Linked DNA regions of Caenorhabditis elegans. The protein of the gene in region 1 interacts with the protein of each later gene in a pairwise test. Each region holds a gene or a part of one and is shown on either strand. Other genes may lie near its edges. The genes, in order: unc-17 and sup-1.

Region 1 (8,207 bases):
AAATCTACGACTACCACTGCGGATTCAGTGGGTCATATCCGGCGGGGAATTCGGCTTGGGGCCTTGAATCCTGGAACGACACGGCGTGGTTCGGGATCTGTGCCTGATTCTGGTACGACTGCTGATCTTCCCATCCTTGATAGGATTCCGCTGTAGTTGCTTCAGGCTTCCCATTGTATCCGCCAGCTGGAGCCGATGAGTTGAGCTGTGTCATTTCGGCGGTGTCACCCTTGGCGCCGAGGGTGTCGTAGGAGTGAACTTTCCGCAGTAGGAATAAAACTGGGGCGTAGGTGACGTTGGTGGCGAAGATTATGATGTTGAGGGCGGTGAATCCCCAGTTGGTCACAATCCATCCGGCAATGATGGGTCCAAAGGCGTAAGCCAACGAGTACGAAATGTCAGCGATCGCGTAGACGGATCCGTAAACCGAAACGTGGCGGGTGTCCACAAGGTGTCCAAGCATCGGGAGGAGCGAGGTGTCGATCAAGGCGATTCCGAAGCATACAAAAGAGAGCGGGATGACAAGTTGCATCACCGATGTGGTATAGGGGATTGCAAAACACGCGATTCCCTCCATAGCCAACCCAACCATAGCAATCGCCCATGTGTGGTGGGGGAACGCCCTGAGCATTTTGACGGTCACATAGACTCCGAGAACGTGTGGAAAGAATGGTGGGAGCCAGATGACTCCGACCAACCAGCCAGGAGTGTCTGGCATCATTTCGGACATCCAGGTTGTGATGGTGGGCTCGAGGAAGGCGAGAGAGACGTTGGCCATGATGAGGGCTCCGGAGCAGCAAGCGATGAAGGGATCCATGAAGAGACGCCACATTGGGGTTCCTGGAAAGAAACGTTTGAGTTTGGGCAGGTACCGTTTTGACTAGGGAATGGTCAGCTTAGGGGTGAGGTACCTAGAGACGCCACATATGCCAAACGGAAGCTGAGATCATTGGCTACAAGAATATGCTTTCGAATTCTGCAACGGACCTCTGGGAGTCTGGAAATTCTTGTCTGAAATCATGCTTTTGAATGCTCGAAAGTGGTAAGAATTTAGAATTTATTACAGAAAAACGTGAAGTTGAATACCTAGAAAAGATGAAAATGTGTTTTGATACAGTGCATACAGTACTTGTTTCAAGTATAAAACTAATTTTATTAATTAAACGTTTTTCTGTAATAAATTCTAAATTCTTACCACTTTCGAGCATTCAAAAGCATAATTTCAGACAAGAATTTCCAGACTCCCAGAGGTCCGTTGCAGAATTTGAAAGCATATTCTTGTAGCCAATGATCTCAGCTTCCGTTTGGCATATGTGGCGTCTCTAGGTACCTCACCCCTAAGCTGACCATTCCCTAGTGAGTAAATTTCTATCTGTTTGAAAGTTGTAGAGTCGGACATTGTGGTAATAATTTTTCTTAAAATTTCAAAGTTTTTTTTAGTAAGTTGCCGAAATCGCTTAAAATGCCGAAAGTGCTAAATTTATATTTTTGGAAAGCTCGGTTCGGACCTTGATGAGGAAATGTCTAATTCTGGAAGATGAAATCAAAATTTTCCGAAAAACTCTCAAATTTAAGAACTGAAATACCATCGAGCTGTCGAAAATATATGAGATTTGTCACATTCAAATTCTTCACAATTTTTCTCTGAAATCGCCGAGAAAGCCTTGAAAATTGCAGAAAAAACTGAAAAATTTTCCAATTTGATAACTGTAACATCGCTGAGTTATCGGAAATGAACTTTCTGTGTACTGAAAGTTCTAAAAATGATCAGGGCGCTGAATTTTCAAAATATTATAAAATTTGAAAAGCGTCTAAAAGTTCTCAAAATCTTAATTATTTTACTGCGGAAGTTTCTAGAAAAGAACATTGTCAAAATTGCTGAAAGGAACCGACAAGCTGAACATTTTAGCATTCTTTTAAACTCTTCGGCTTTTTTAGACGTTAAAGGCGGTGTAGTGGACATTTTTTATTGCTTTTTTAAACTTTAAACTGTGTCTGAAAACACCGAATTTCATAATGAAACTTCTTCTCAAAACAAAGTTATGGCGGCTTAAAAATGACGTAAAACTTGTTACAATTTCAAATTTGACAGGTTTGTCAATGTCGCAACGATTGGAAACTAACTTATTTTAAAATCACCGTCTAATTTTGGATACACAAGTTGATATTCGATTTAGGAACATTTAAGGAACATATGGATCACCAGATTTGGCAAAATTTGGTAACTTCTGGTGATCCATCGACATTAAATGCGCCTAAATTGATTTGAAAAGCAAGATAGTTGACTTATTTATCAAAAGTATATTGGTGATTTCAAAAAAGTTAGTTCCCAGCTGCTGCGACGTTGACAAGTTGGCGAAATTTCAAATTTTAACTCTTTGTTGGTTAATTTTTAAGCCAACATAACCTCTTTTTTTTTGAAAAGTTTTAAAGAAGTTTCATTATGAAATTCGGTGTTTTCAGACAATTTTGAGTCTAGTAAATCAATAAAAAATTTCGACTACACCACTTTTAATAATCCTAAAATTTTTAAACGTATAACCCATACCTTGAACCTTCTCTCCATGAGAATCAGTGCCTCTCCGATGGGGATTGATCACCATAAAAACTGCAATAGCATCAGCCAAACAGACAAATGACAGAATCAGGAAAGGTACGGGTTTTCCGGCGAGTGAGTACAATACGGAGCCAAATGGTGGAGCAACTAGGCACCCGAACGAGATGAAGGCTAAGGCGATTCCAAGTGCCGCTGATCTCTCGTTTTCTTCGGTGAATCGATCGGCGATCATGGCAAGACCGGAAGTATCGGCGAACGCTGAGCCGAAGCCCTGAAATTTTTTTTAGAAATTTTCAAAAAGTTTCAGTTTTTAAGAGTTTTGAAATTTATACAAATATTGCCGACGTCTTTGAAAATCTCTTAAAAACTCCTTAAACTTCAGTAAATTCAAGGAATTTTCACAAATTTGTTGATATTTCCAGAAACTTTCTAGAACATTTCTAAATTCTCTTCAATTTTGAGAGCTATTCAATATTTTCTAAAACTCTCTAAAATTATCGAAAATTTCCAGAATTTTTTCTAAATTTTCTAAGATTTCCTGAACTCCCAGGTAATATCCCAAAAAGTTTCCAGAATTTCCAGAGGTTTTTGAAGCTTTCTAAAAAGTTCTATAAATTTTTTAAAAATTTTTCTAAATTCCAGAATTGTTTAAAGAAAAATCAGCAACTTTTTAATGGATGTTCAAAGTTTTCAAGAACATTCTAGAATTTTCACAATTTTTTAGATTATTTTAGATTTTGTTTAGGGATTCTACTTCTCCATGGCTCCGATTTTGAAATTCTTCCAAGTTTTGTTGAAAACTTTTCCCAACAACTTCTTCTCCTCTACTTTCCATCTCCAATTTGTCCATGTTACCACCTACGGAGATGTCCCCGCCTGTCCCAGGGGACACCGAAAGGGGGACGTACTTATCACCCGGGACCATCTCATTTTCCTACTGCTCTGCGAGCTCCTTCTCTTTTCGCCAGCTTCTTCTTTGCTGTTGTTAATTAGCACGAAGTCGTTCGACGCCCGGCTGGGAAATAGTGCGAAAAGACTCGGAGCCGCAGAGCATTTCAGAAATCCTTTCCGTTTCCGACATTAGAAGAGCAACGCGAAAAAAATGGAAGGGAAAAGATTCGAATTTTATATACAGAATGATGACCGGTTTTCGTAAGAAATTGGAAAGATGGCAGGAGCAGGAAGAGGAACCAAATTAAATTGCTCGGCGAGTTGAAGTTTTCTTGGGAAAAAGTTGGCGTTGGGGGAAGATTTAATGCCAGGAATGGGGAAATTTTCTAAAACTAAAAAAAAATTCTAGAATTTCCCAGAATTTTATTTAATTTTCTAAGATGTTCTGAAGCCATTTGGAATTTTTTAAAGTCTTTAAAAAATTTCAATAATTTGTTCACAATTTTCTGAGACGTTAAAAACTTTTTAATTTTTTAAAAATTTTTTACAAATTTCCAGAACTTTGTAGAAGCTTTTTAAAATTTTCTAGAAAACTAGGGAAGGTTTGAAAAAATCTTAAAATATTCCAGAAAGCTTTAGAGTGTTTTTGAAAAGATTCAAACAAAAATTTTAGGCATTTCTGAACCAGAACGTTTTAGGAAGTAGTATAAAATTGAAAATTCTAGACATTTTGAAGACTCTGGACAATTTTCCGAAACCTCTAAATTTCTTGTAGCTATTAGAAAATTTCGATGATTAAACATCAGGAATTTTTTTCAAAAACATTAAAAGTTTCTCCAGAAAATTCTGAAAAAAATCCAAAAATTTCTTGAAATTTCCAGAAGCTTCAAAAAGTCTAAAAACCTTCCAGAACAATTTGATACTTAAAAAAATATTTTTTTAGATGAATTTAAAGTTGAGCAGCGGTTTTTTTCTATAGTTTTAAAGTCAGCTGACAGTTTGTCTGCTTAACACTTTATTCTTAAAAAGAAAGAAAAAAACTAACCTGCAACGATCTTGCAAAAAGCAAAACTCCATAGCTCTTTCCAAGAGCAAATATAGCCGTGGAGAAAAACATGGTGCATAGCCCCAAAATCATCGGAATCTCGTATCCAACTCGATCGATAATATATCCCGAAAACGGATTCACAAAAATTTGCAGCAAAGCTTTTGAAGCGAAGAGCCATCCCAATTCCAGCTCCTCATCCAAAAAGTTAATCCTTCCGCCGACCTCTCTTACCAGATAGGTCCCGTTTGCAAGCTGGCTTGTCTCATTGTGGTATCCCTCGAAGGTCACCTGGTAGTTATGAATGTCCCGAAGGTATTTCGGAATAATTGGGACAATGACCATGTAGAGCATATTGTCGAGTAGTAGGGCTATGGAGACTATCACCAGGACGCATTTCTTCTGATTATCCTGCTGCTCAAGCCACTTTTTGGCGTCCGCTTTGAGGATCTCCGAGTCTCGGTTGATGACGGGCACGTTGAAGCCCATCTCTCTCTCTCCCCCTGGAATATTTTATTTTTTCTAAATTTTTTGGGCTTCGGGCTGGCCTAGGGGCTTTTTCTCAAACAAAAAAAAATTTAAAGAAAACTTATGACGTGGCTCGGCGCGTAACAGAGCCGTGAGACCCATTGTATGGGGGAGAGAGAGACTTAGGGGAGACACAGATCGCCAGAGGGCCGCCGAGACCACGCCCAGTTTTGAGGAAAAACACACGTATAAGGCTTGTTGGGGAGGGGAGAGACAGAGAAATACAGGAGAAAATTGAGAAAATTAATATAAGAAAGGTAGTGGAAATACAGGTAATACAGGAGGAGTTTGTAATTTTTGGAAATTTTTTTAAAGAGGAACTTCTTGGTGGTTTAGTTGTTGAACATGTTAAAAATTTTGTATTTTTTGCCGAATTTTTTTGAATTTTTGTATAGCCCGCCAATTTTTTTTTGAAAAATATGAATTTCGCGCCAAAAACTCTCAAAATTTTGACTTTTGCGCAAAATTTTTTCTGGAATTTTTGAACTTCGCGCCAATTGTCTTATTTAAAAATTTTTTGCAAATAATTGAGTATGACAACTGTCACTTTTTCAAAAATTTCAAATTCGCGCTAAACTCTTTCTTTGGAAATATTTTTTTAGAAAATTGATAAATTCGAATTTTGTCGAAAAAACATCTTTTTCAGAACAATTTTTAGACTTTGCGCCAAATTATTTAAAATTTTATGAAAAATTCTGTGTTCTTTTATTTCCCGCCAATTTTTTTTCTAATATGTAAGTTTGCGGCATATTCGTCAGAAATTTTTTAAATCGAGATTCTAGAAAATTTTTTGAACAACTTATTTTAAACTTTGTGCAAATTTTTTTATTGAAAAAATTATGTCAAAATAATTTTTTCGAAATATGTTTAAAAAAAAAGAAATTCACAAATTACCGCCAAAATTTGTTGAAAAATTTTTTTCAAAACTTAAAAAAAATTCTAAATTTTATGTTTTGAAACTGGCGCCAAAAATTAATTTCAAATATTCCAGGAAAATTTACCAAAAAATTTCAAAATTCAAATTTTCTGCCAAAATATTGTACGAAGATTCTTGAAAATTTTCATAATATATCTTATGACTACTTTTTGGAAATACAGTATTTAAAAAAAATTAGGCTCACCTTGTTTTAGTAGGTTACTATTTTGAACAAGAGATGCGGAAAATAGAAAGACTTTCGATGAATTACCTGAAAATTAAATATTTTAGTGTAAAACTTTTGGGGGCAAAATAAAAAAATAAAGAGGAAACAAGGAACTTGAAAAATAAAATAAAAATTATTTTTTTGAAAAATTCCGGCGGGAAAATTATTTTTTGACAAAAAAAAAGAATTTTTTCTGAAATTTTAGTTTAAAAAGTTCAAATGACTCCACCGAGTTACCTTAAAAAATTGCTAAACACTAATTTAGGCTAAAAATCAGGCGAAAAAAGAAAAATGACATGTGTATTTGAGCCCCCGGGCGGGTTTCTTTTCTGTTCTGAGGGATGACTCTATTGTTATTTTTTACGAAGATTGCCTTGGCGCCAATTCAAAATGCACATGATTGATTGGCTCAGAGGGGGGGGGGGGGGGGGGGGGGTTGGATATGCAAACTGACGTAGTGGTTTTTTTGTTGGAATTTCAGAAATTTGGAAATCGCTGCCAAAAAAACACAAGACCACAACATTAGGAAGTTTTTAAAGTTTTAGAACTTTAGAACTAGAGTTTTAGTGGAAATTTTGAAAAAATAACGCTAAAAAATCGAAACATTCAAAATTCGAGGAAAATTTTATTTATTTATTTAAGAATTTCAATTTTTCGAGCTTAAAAAAAGTTTAAATAATGCAAATTTGAATTCCCCGCAAAAAGTTATTCACACATTGAATCGGAATATTTTTTTTTATTTCCCGCCGAATTTTCATGTAAATATTTGATTTTTTGTTGAAAAAAAAACCCAAATCTTAAAATTCTTAATTGTGTGAAATTTTAAGAATGGGAAAATTGAACTCACGCCAAAATTACTAATATTTTTGCCAGAAAATTAATTTGACTAAAGCGCCAAAAATTTTGATTAACTTTTTTAAAGAACTTTCCGCCAAAACATAATTTTCAAAAAAAAAATAGTGGCACTACAAAACTTCTACTACACCTTTTTTACAAAAGCAAAAATATTTGAAAAAATAATAGGAAATTTTGGCACAAATCTCAAAACTCCTGCTCAAAAGCTCAAATTTTGAACTGAAAATTACTGGAAAAAAAATCGAAAAATCTCCATATCTCCCCACGAGCTTTACCTCATCAATTCTAGGGAGACGAAGTCAATTAGCTCTACTATTCATAAAAATTGGCTCAATTCGAGCCGGATTCACGGCGGGTAAGGATAGAAAAAAAAATATAAAGACGCACATCTTCTCCCCTGCAAAGCCGCAATTCAACGGGAATTCAATATAAACTGGGAAAGAAATATGAGATCGATGTGAAGGAATTGGGCGGATTCTCACGGTATCCACACGTCATGGGCTCGAGCTCCGTTTTGAGACAGAAAAAACGGATACAAAAGAAAATTGGTGGAACATGTACAATATAAAGCTTTCAGTGACGCCAAACTTTGAAAAGTTAAAAAAATTCTTCAAAACTCGGTCCAGTTTTACAGGCCCCAGAAACCTAACAATTTACTTTTCCAAGAAACTTTTTGAGCAGTATTTAATCTCTACTATTTTTTTTTTTGAGGTCAGTTAATAGATGTTAATCACAGTTTGGGCTAGTTTTTGATATATATCTCTCCTTGTCTCTCGCTTAACAGTTATCATTAGACCTTTTCTGTAGGAAAAATAGGTTTGATCTTTTGGTAACGTTCTACAATTTGGCTTAGGCTTGAACATAGGCTTAGGCTTATGCTTAGGCGTAGAATTAGGCTTAGGCTTAAGCTCAAATGAATACACATCGGGGTTTAGGTTTTCAATTCAAACTTCCATGGCTAGAGCTTCGTTTTTTTCTGGAAAAGTAACGAAAATGTGTGAAAAAGTCCATTTCGTATTCTTTTTTATTCTGTTTCACAAAAAAAGAAAAAGACGACGTCAATCTCTTCTTCTCCGAAGCCTCGGCACAGGCACTGATTGGGATTGTTCGCGGAAACCAAGTTAGCTTCAGCGTCTAGTCATTCACACGCACTATTTCTTAAAGATTTTGAAGAGAGGATGTGTGTGTG
Region 2 (6,966 bases), on another chromosome or scaffold:
AGCCATCGTTTGCCCATCACTACTACTGTTGCGGTGATGGCTTCAACGAGTGCTGTATTGGGCTTGAAGTGACATCTCAGGCCTTCAGATCCGATTGAAAGAACCGGCTAAATTTCAGATTTGGGTGATCATTTTGATGGCGGTTCTCACAATCATATCGATCATCTAGTGTATCATTGGATGCATGTGCTATTGCTGCAGAAAGTAGTTGGGGGTACATCGAACTACTTGGAATTTTTGTAAAGAATATAATAAAGTGATTAAAGATTTGGTGGACAGGAGGGTGTCGGCTGCTTAGCATGTTGGCAATCCCGTGAAAAGTCGGCTGCAACAAAGGTGGCTTATAAAACGTCCGCTCTTTAACTCAACAGTTTTTCTGACCCGTGAGGTACCGGCTGCATTTTAGCTGTCCCGCGAGGTGTGGGCAGCAGCTAAAGTTACCCATTTTTTTTGGAATTTTTTGGAATATCGAATTTTCAGAATGTGACAATTGTTTTGAAATTATCGATTTTTCGGAATTTATCGATTTTTCGGAATATCGATTTTTCAGAAATTTTTATTTTTTGGTATTCAACAAGTTTTTATGGAATTAATTGTTTTCTTGCTGAAATAATATATTTTTCGGAATTCAGAGATTTTTTTGGTATTTCGATAAATCTGGAAAAATCGATAAATTCCGAAAATTGATAATTTTTTCGATTTATATTTATCGATTTTTTCCCAGAAATGTGAAATTGATATGTATTTTCAGAATTTTATTTCATAAAAAAATAGCAATTAATACAGAAAATTCGATAAAAGGTATTGTGGAAAAAGTACATGTTTGGAAAGCTTTTTGTTAGCAAATTTTATATAAATGCAATATTTTGTGACCGAGGGAATTATGCGAAACGGAAGGGGGGCGAAAGATTTTGAAAAATCGATTCTAAAAATATAAAACAAAAAAAAAATTGAGCCAAAGTATATAATTTTAAAAAATGTGGGCGGAGCTTAAAATGGGAATAAATCGAGTATCGGGAAATTAAAACTAAATTGGTTGGAGGTGTACATATCGATTTTTCTACTTGCGGCAGCAGATGCAACGGACAAGGGAGATGACGAAGGAGGCGATGAAGATGACTCCGAACAAGGCGAGGGTTACCCAGACCCATGTCTGAAAAAATTTATTTTTTTGAAAATATTTTGAAATGTGTTTTTTTTTAACTTTGTAACAAATATCTCAAAAATGGCAAGAGCTATAAAAAAGTTATAAACTAGCAAACTGTAGAAAATTAAATTTCCTACATTTTCTTAGTTGACAACTTTTTAATAGCTTTTGCCATTTTTGAGATATGAAAGCGCACAGGCAAAATTTCAAAAAAAAGCCTATGCCTATAAACCTATGCCTATGCCTAAGTCTAAGCCTAAGCCAAAGCCTAACCCTCTTAAAAAGTTACAAGAAGGTTTTTCCTTGCGCTTGGAGCGCAAAAGAAAAGAAAAAGAGCTATTTAGACTTAGGGTGCCCAACTGGAATAAAATATTGGAAATCCTTGACACACCGGCGGTATGGCGCGGCTTAAGCCTAAATAGCCACTTTTATCAAAATACATTTGAGCGAGGCGGTTGTAAACTATTCGTTTTTTAGCAAAAATAAAAAAAAACTTTATTTAAATTTAAAAATAAATATCATATGTTATCACACCTTAGAATATCCCGCCTTAATTTAGTAATCATTTTAGTTCATAAGTGTGAGAGAAAGAAAAATGGATTAATCATCGGAATTAAATATCATCAGAGTGATTATATTCATCAAAGGTCCCACTTTACTTGAGGGTTAACTTGATCGATATAAAATTCCTATCTCATGTGAAGAAAGGTTCAAATTCTGTACCTATGAATGCTGCCGATATTTGAATTCCTGTCTCATGGGAAGAAGGTCTTTCTTGTGGAAAGAACGGAGTTATAAAAAAATTTACGCAGGTACAGAATTTGAACTTTTCTTCCCATGAGATAGGAGTTTGTATATTGGCATTCTATAACTTTACTTTAAAAAAATCTCCAAAGGTTGCTCGCAAATATGTAGAGATTGCTCGCATCCCTTCAAATATTACAAAATTTCCAAGTTTCTTAGAAATAATCTTCATTTGGATTACTGAAAAATATCCACAGACTACTTTTGAGTTGCCTGAGAAGTTAGAGTAAAACGCAAAGCGAGCTCAAATGTATTTTGATAAAAGTGGCTATTTAGGCTTAAGCCGCGCCATACCGCCGGTGTGTCATAAGGATTTCCAATATTTTATTCCAGTTGGGCATCCTAGTATGTTTTTCGGGCCCTTAGGCTTAAGTGTGTCATAAGGATTTCCTATATTTTATTCCAGTTGGGCACCCTAAGTCTAAATAGCTCTTTTTCTTTTCTTTTGCACTCCAAGCGCAAGGAAAAACCTTCTTGTAACTTTTTAAGAGGGTTTCATATATTTTATTAAAATCGGGGCGAAGCCCTGATTTTAAATCCATATTGTTTTTTTTTTGTCTTCCTCTAGCCCTGCAAATAGGAAAGAGAATGTGTTCTTTCTCATGAAGTAAAAATCATCATAAAATCTTGAAAACTGAGAGCAGGAGGTAATATTTGAATATATTGGGTTGTAAATGTGTGTCTCGATGTGGGTGGGGTGGCGATGTGTCGGCAGCCAACCCTTCAACGAACTGTTTCTCCCGCCTGTATCTCCCTTCAAAGTGAGAATTGAGTTACAAAAATTTGAGGGAATATGAAAAGGTGTAAGGATTTCAAAAATATTAATTTTGAAACACCAGACCAAACCACTTTTTCTGGGCAAGAGGCAAAAAATTAATTTTTTGAAAAAATTTCAAACTGGCACAAAATTTTTTCAAAAATAAATTTTTCACAAATTGTTAGTAGATTTCATTTTTCATAAATATTGTTCATTGAACACAAAAAAGAAAACAAAGATTCATTAAAAAATGAGTGAAAAATCGCAAAAATTCGAAAAAATCAGTGCTGAAAAACTCGATTTTTTGGCGGTGCTGAAAAAAATTTTCACTAAAATTTTTTTGAAACTTAGTTTTTCGGATTTAGCGTCAAATTTTAAATCTATATAAAAAAACAAAATTGAAATTGATTTCAGATTGAGTGAATAATAAACGCTCAAAGTTGAAAAATGAACAACGCAAAAACGGCAGTAACTTGCTTCAAGGTCGGTTATCTCAGTGAGTTTTCACTCAATTTTCGAAATTTTTTTGCTTTATCGCTTTAGAAATATTTGTAATTTCATTTTTTTTCCTCAAAATCAAAATATCTCAAACGACCGCCATCCTACGAGAAGGGAAAAAAAAAGTTTTTGGAAAAAAAATCAAAAATTTTTTTTCTGCCTCGATTTTCAAAATGAAAAAATCACTTTTTCGGAATAATTTTTACTTTAAAATGTACCTACGATCTTTTTATACAACAATTTCACCTTGGAACCAAAGATTTCTCAAAGACAACAGCGCACGAAGCGGTGGTTTGCGAAAAAACACGAAAAAAACACACCGAAGTGGGAGGGGGGAGGTCAAAATTGCGAATTTGACTTTGGAGCTCTCTAAAAGAGCTCATAGCTGATGGATCTGGACGATTTGTATGTTTTTCGACGCATCTCGTCGAGTACTATAAACTGCTAAAAAATCTCGTAAAAATCGCAAAAACTCGAATTTTCCTGCAAACAAAAGAGGCGAAAAATGAGAAAAAAAACGTGATTTTTGGAGAATACTCGAAAATACTCTTCATATCTCGGCTCAAATAGCTCCAATCTTTCTGAAATAAAGCATACAGAGATGGGGCAAGCTTCTTGAAGAGACAGCAAAAAACCGCATCAAAATCCATCCACCCACCGTCAAGTTACACGCGCGTTTTCAGAGCGAACGAAAAACAGGGCATAAAAAAATTTAGACGCCCGCACCCGGACTCGAACTTTTGTCGGATTTTGAAGCTTAATATCTCGGCTCCTGTAAATCGAAATTGGCTCAAAATTTACAAGAAACCTTATCCTGCTACGATCCTCCTGTCATTAAATTTTCGTGAGCTTAGACCGAAAACTGACAAAACGCCAAACTTTCAAATTTTAAAAAATAGTTGAGGGTCATTTTGAAAATACCTTAAGCTCCATAACTCGGCGAGTTTTGATGGAATCAATTTGAAATTTTACACGGAAGCTTCTTAGTGGCCTATACGTCTCTGTGTTAAATTTCGCTTTGATCGGCCAACGGGAACCCTTTGAAAAATGAAAAAAACGCTGTAATCCTAACCCTAAATGCTAACGCTCCCCCACTGACGCCAAACCTAAGTCTAACACCATTAAATTCCCGAAAAAATGCCGAAAAATAAAAAATTGGCAAACAGACAAATTTTTAAAAAGTCTCGAGAGCCATTTTGAAAACACCTTAAGTTTCTATCGAATCAACCTGAAACTTCAGAAGCTTTTTGGTGACCTACACGTCTCTCCGTAAAAATTCGCGTTGATCGGCCAACAGGAACCCCTTGAAAAATCAAAAAAAACCGGAAAATCGTAAGCTTAAGTAGCTAACGCTCGCCACTGACGCCAAGCCTATGGCTAAACCTAAGCCTAAGCCTGAGACTAAGCTCTACCCTAACCCTAACCCTAAGCCTAAGCCTACGCCTAAGCCTAGGCCTAAGCCTAAGCCTAAGCCTAAGCCTAAGCTTAAGCCTAAGCTAAAGCCTGAGCCCGGAAATTAAACTTCTTTCAAAACTGTACCTGGAGGTTAAAGCAGCATTCCTTGTTGAGTTCTCCACAGCATTTCCAGTAGTGGAAGATGCTAGAGGTTCCGCATTTGGTTCCGACCAATGGTACCGGGCAATATGTGTCTCCGTCCTAGAATTTTTTAGAAATTTTGAAGATATATAAGAGGAAAAGTACCTTTGTAGTGGTGACCTCATTCACTGCACTTTTCACGTCGTGGTCCACGTTGGCAGCCATTGCGAGTCCAATGCACGCGGCGAGTGCGATGTAGGACATCATTTTGATAGGTTAAGCTGGAATTTTGGATTTTAGAATATTGTGCAAAACGAAAAGCGTTTGGAATTCTTAGGGAGAGAAAAAAAATTAGAAATTTTGGCGGGAAATTGATATTTTATGAGAAAATCTTTGGCGGGAAACTTAAATTTTCTCATAAAACTGTGGCTCGGAACTAAAATTTTCAATTTAAAAATTTGGCGAGAAACTCAAGTTTTTTGAAAAATATTTCTGGCGGGAAATTCAAATATTCTCAAAAAAATCTTCGGCGGGAAATTCAAATTTTCTGACAAAAAATGGAGGGAAATTCAAATTTTATGAGAACATCTTTGGCGGGAAATTCAAATTATCTCTGAGAAAATTGGAGGGAAATTTAACTTTTCTTAGAAAAATTGTTGGAGGGAAATTCAAATTTTCTGACAAAATCTTTGGCCGGAAATTGAAATTATCTCCTAACAAGTTTGGCGGGTAATTCAATTTTTCTGAGAAAAAAATTGGCGGGAAATTCAAATTATTTCATAAAAATATGGCTAGGAATTAAAATTTTCTTTTTAAAAATTTGGCGCGAAATTTAAATTTTCTGAGAAAATCTTTGGCGGGAAATTCAAATTTTCTGACAAAATCTTTGGCCGGAAATTCAAATTTTTCAGAAAAATTTTGGCGGGAAATTCAAATTTCCTGAGAAAAAATTGGCGGGAAATTCGAATTTTAACGAATTTTAAACGAATTTCAACGAATTTAACGAATTTTAAAGTAGCTATAAAAACGTATTAACAAATAAATTATAGAAAATTTTATGTACAATAACTTTTCGGTAAGAAATTCTGGTTTACACCCAGAAATCCAAGATTTCCAAAACAACAACTACCACAGGAAAATAAAGAAAAAAAATAGGGAAAAAAAGAAAGTTGTGGTGTCGGGAAGGGGAGGAAACAAAATTTGAAGTTAGCCATCCGTCGGTTGGTAGTTTCGGAAAAAAAGAGAGATAATTTCACAAGATTGTGCGTGTGGATGACACGAGACATTGTGTCAACCGAAGAGATGCAGAAATTGGGGAGGAGGCGGTCAGAGATTAAAGGGAGGGGACCCAAATGTGCTTTCTGGTCTTTTTCTTTTTGTGACAGAGGGCGCTTCTTTTAACAGATAGTACTTATCAAAACGATGACGTCACGGGGGTGGTATATCACGAGAATTTTTGGAAAAAAAAAGGGGAAAGGGAAATTAAAAACCGGTATTTTTGTTTATGTTGTTTTGGTCATTGACCAGTTACATAAATTATAATATATGTTTTTTTTTTTGAAAAAAAAAATTAAATTTATTAACCAAAAGTACAACAACTTGGAAACAAATTTGAAATTCAGATTTTTTCTAGAATTTTAGAAGATTTTATAAAATTTTTATGGAAGAAAAAAAAACTTTAGAAATCTGAAAAAAAAATCTAATTTTTTTTGGAAGCTTCAGAGCAGTGGTGGGCGGCAAACGATTTTTCCGGCAAATCGGCAAATCGGTAAACTGCCGGAAATGAAATTTCCGGCAAACCCGCAAATTGCCGATTTGCCGAATTAGCCTAAAATTCTCGGCAAAGAATGGTATTGCACATTTTTGTTTTTAACACTGCAACTTTTTCCTCACGAGGGACGAGGCAAAAAGGTTTCTAGGCCTTGGCCGAGTCCCCGACAAATTTCAGCGGCCATTTATCTTGCTTTGTTTTCCGCCTGTTTTCTTTTGTTTTTCACCAATTTTTTCCGTTTTTTCTTATTAAAACTATTAAATAAATATTTTTTGCAGATGCTAAAACAATTTCCAAGTAAAAAAATTATGTATTCAGTGGGCAAGTAGCGGTGAAAGTGGTCAATGTAATATGATGGATTACGGGAATACCAAACCTAAACTTTTTTCCAAACATGATACATATGCTGCTTAAATGCTGAAACTACTTGATTTTCATAACGAGACCGCTGAA

Evidence for each region.
Region 2: the proteins of unc-17 (region 1) and sup-1 interact in a protein complementation assay, tested with the Caenorhabditis elegans proteins (one study listed by BioGRID).

What each region holds. Positions count from the first base shown.
Region 1 is NC_003282.8:3,618,490-3,626,696, forward strand, and holds the start of unc-17 (Vesicular acetylcholine transporter unc-17), read right to left. Parts: upstream 6,211-8,207; 5' UTR 6,143-6,210; intron 4,997-6,142; 5' UTR 4,983-4,996; coding exon 4,494-4,982; intron 2,829-4,493; coding exon 2,549-2,828; intron 841-2,548; coding exon 11-840; 3' UTR 1-10. UniProt on the Caenorhabditis elegans protein: Involved in acetylcholine transport into synaptic vesicles.
Region 2 is NC_003281.10:11,732,605-11,739,570, forward strand, and holds sup-1 (Protein SUP-1), read right to left. Parts: upstream 5,024-6,966; 5' UTR 5,010-5,023; coding exon 4,908-5,009; intron 4,863-4,907; coding exon 4,746-4,862; intron 1,338-4,745; exon of another isoform or gene 1,215-1,337; intron 1,154-1,214; coding exon 1,061-1,153; 3' UTR 741-1,060; downstream 1-740. Other genes in the region: Y41C4A.21 (UPF0506 domain-containing protein), read left to right, coding at 1-68, 119-169. UniProt on the Caenorhabditis elegans protein: May be involved in trafficking or stabilization of the vesicular acetylcholine transporter unc-17.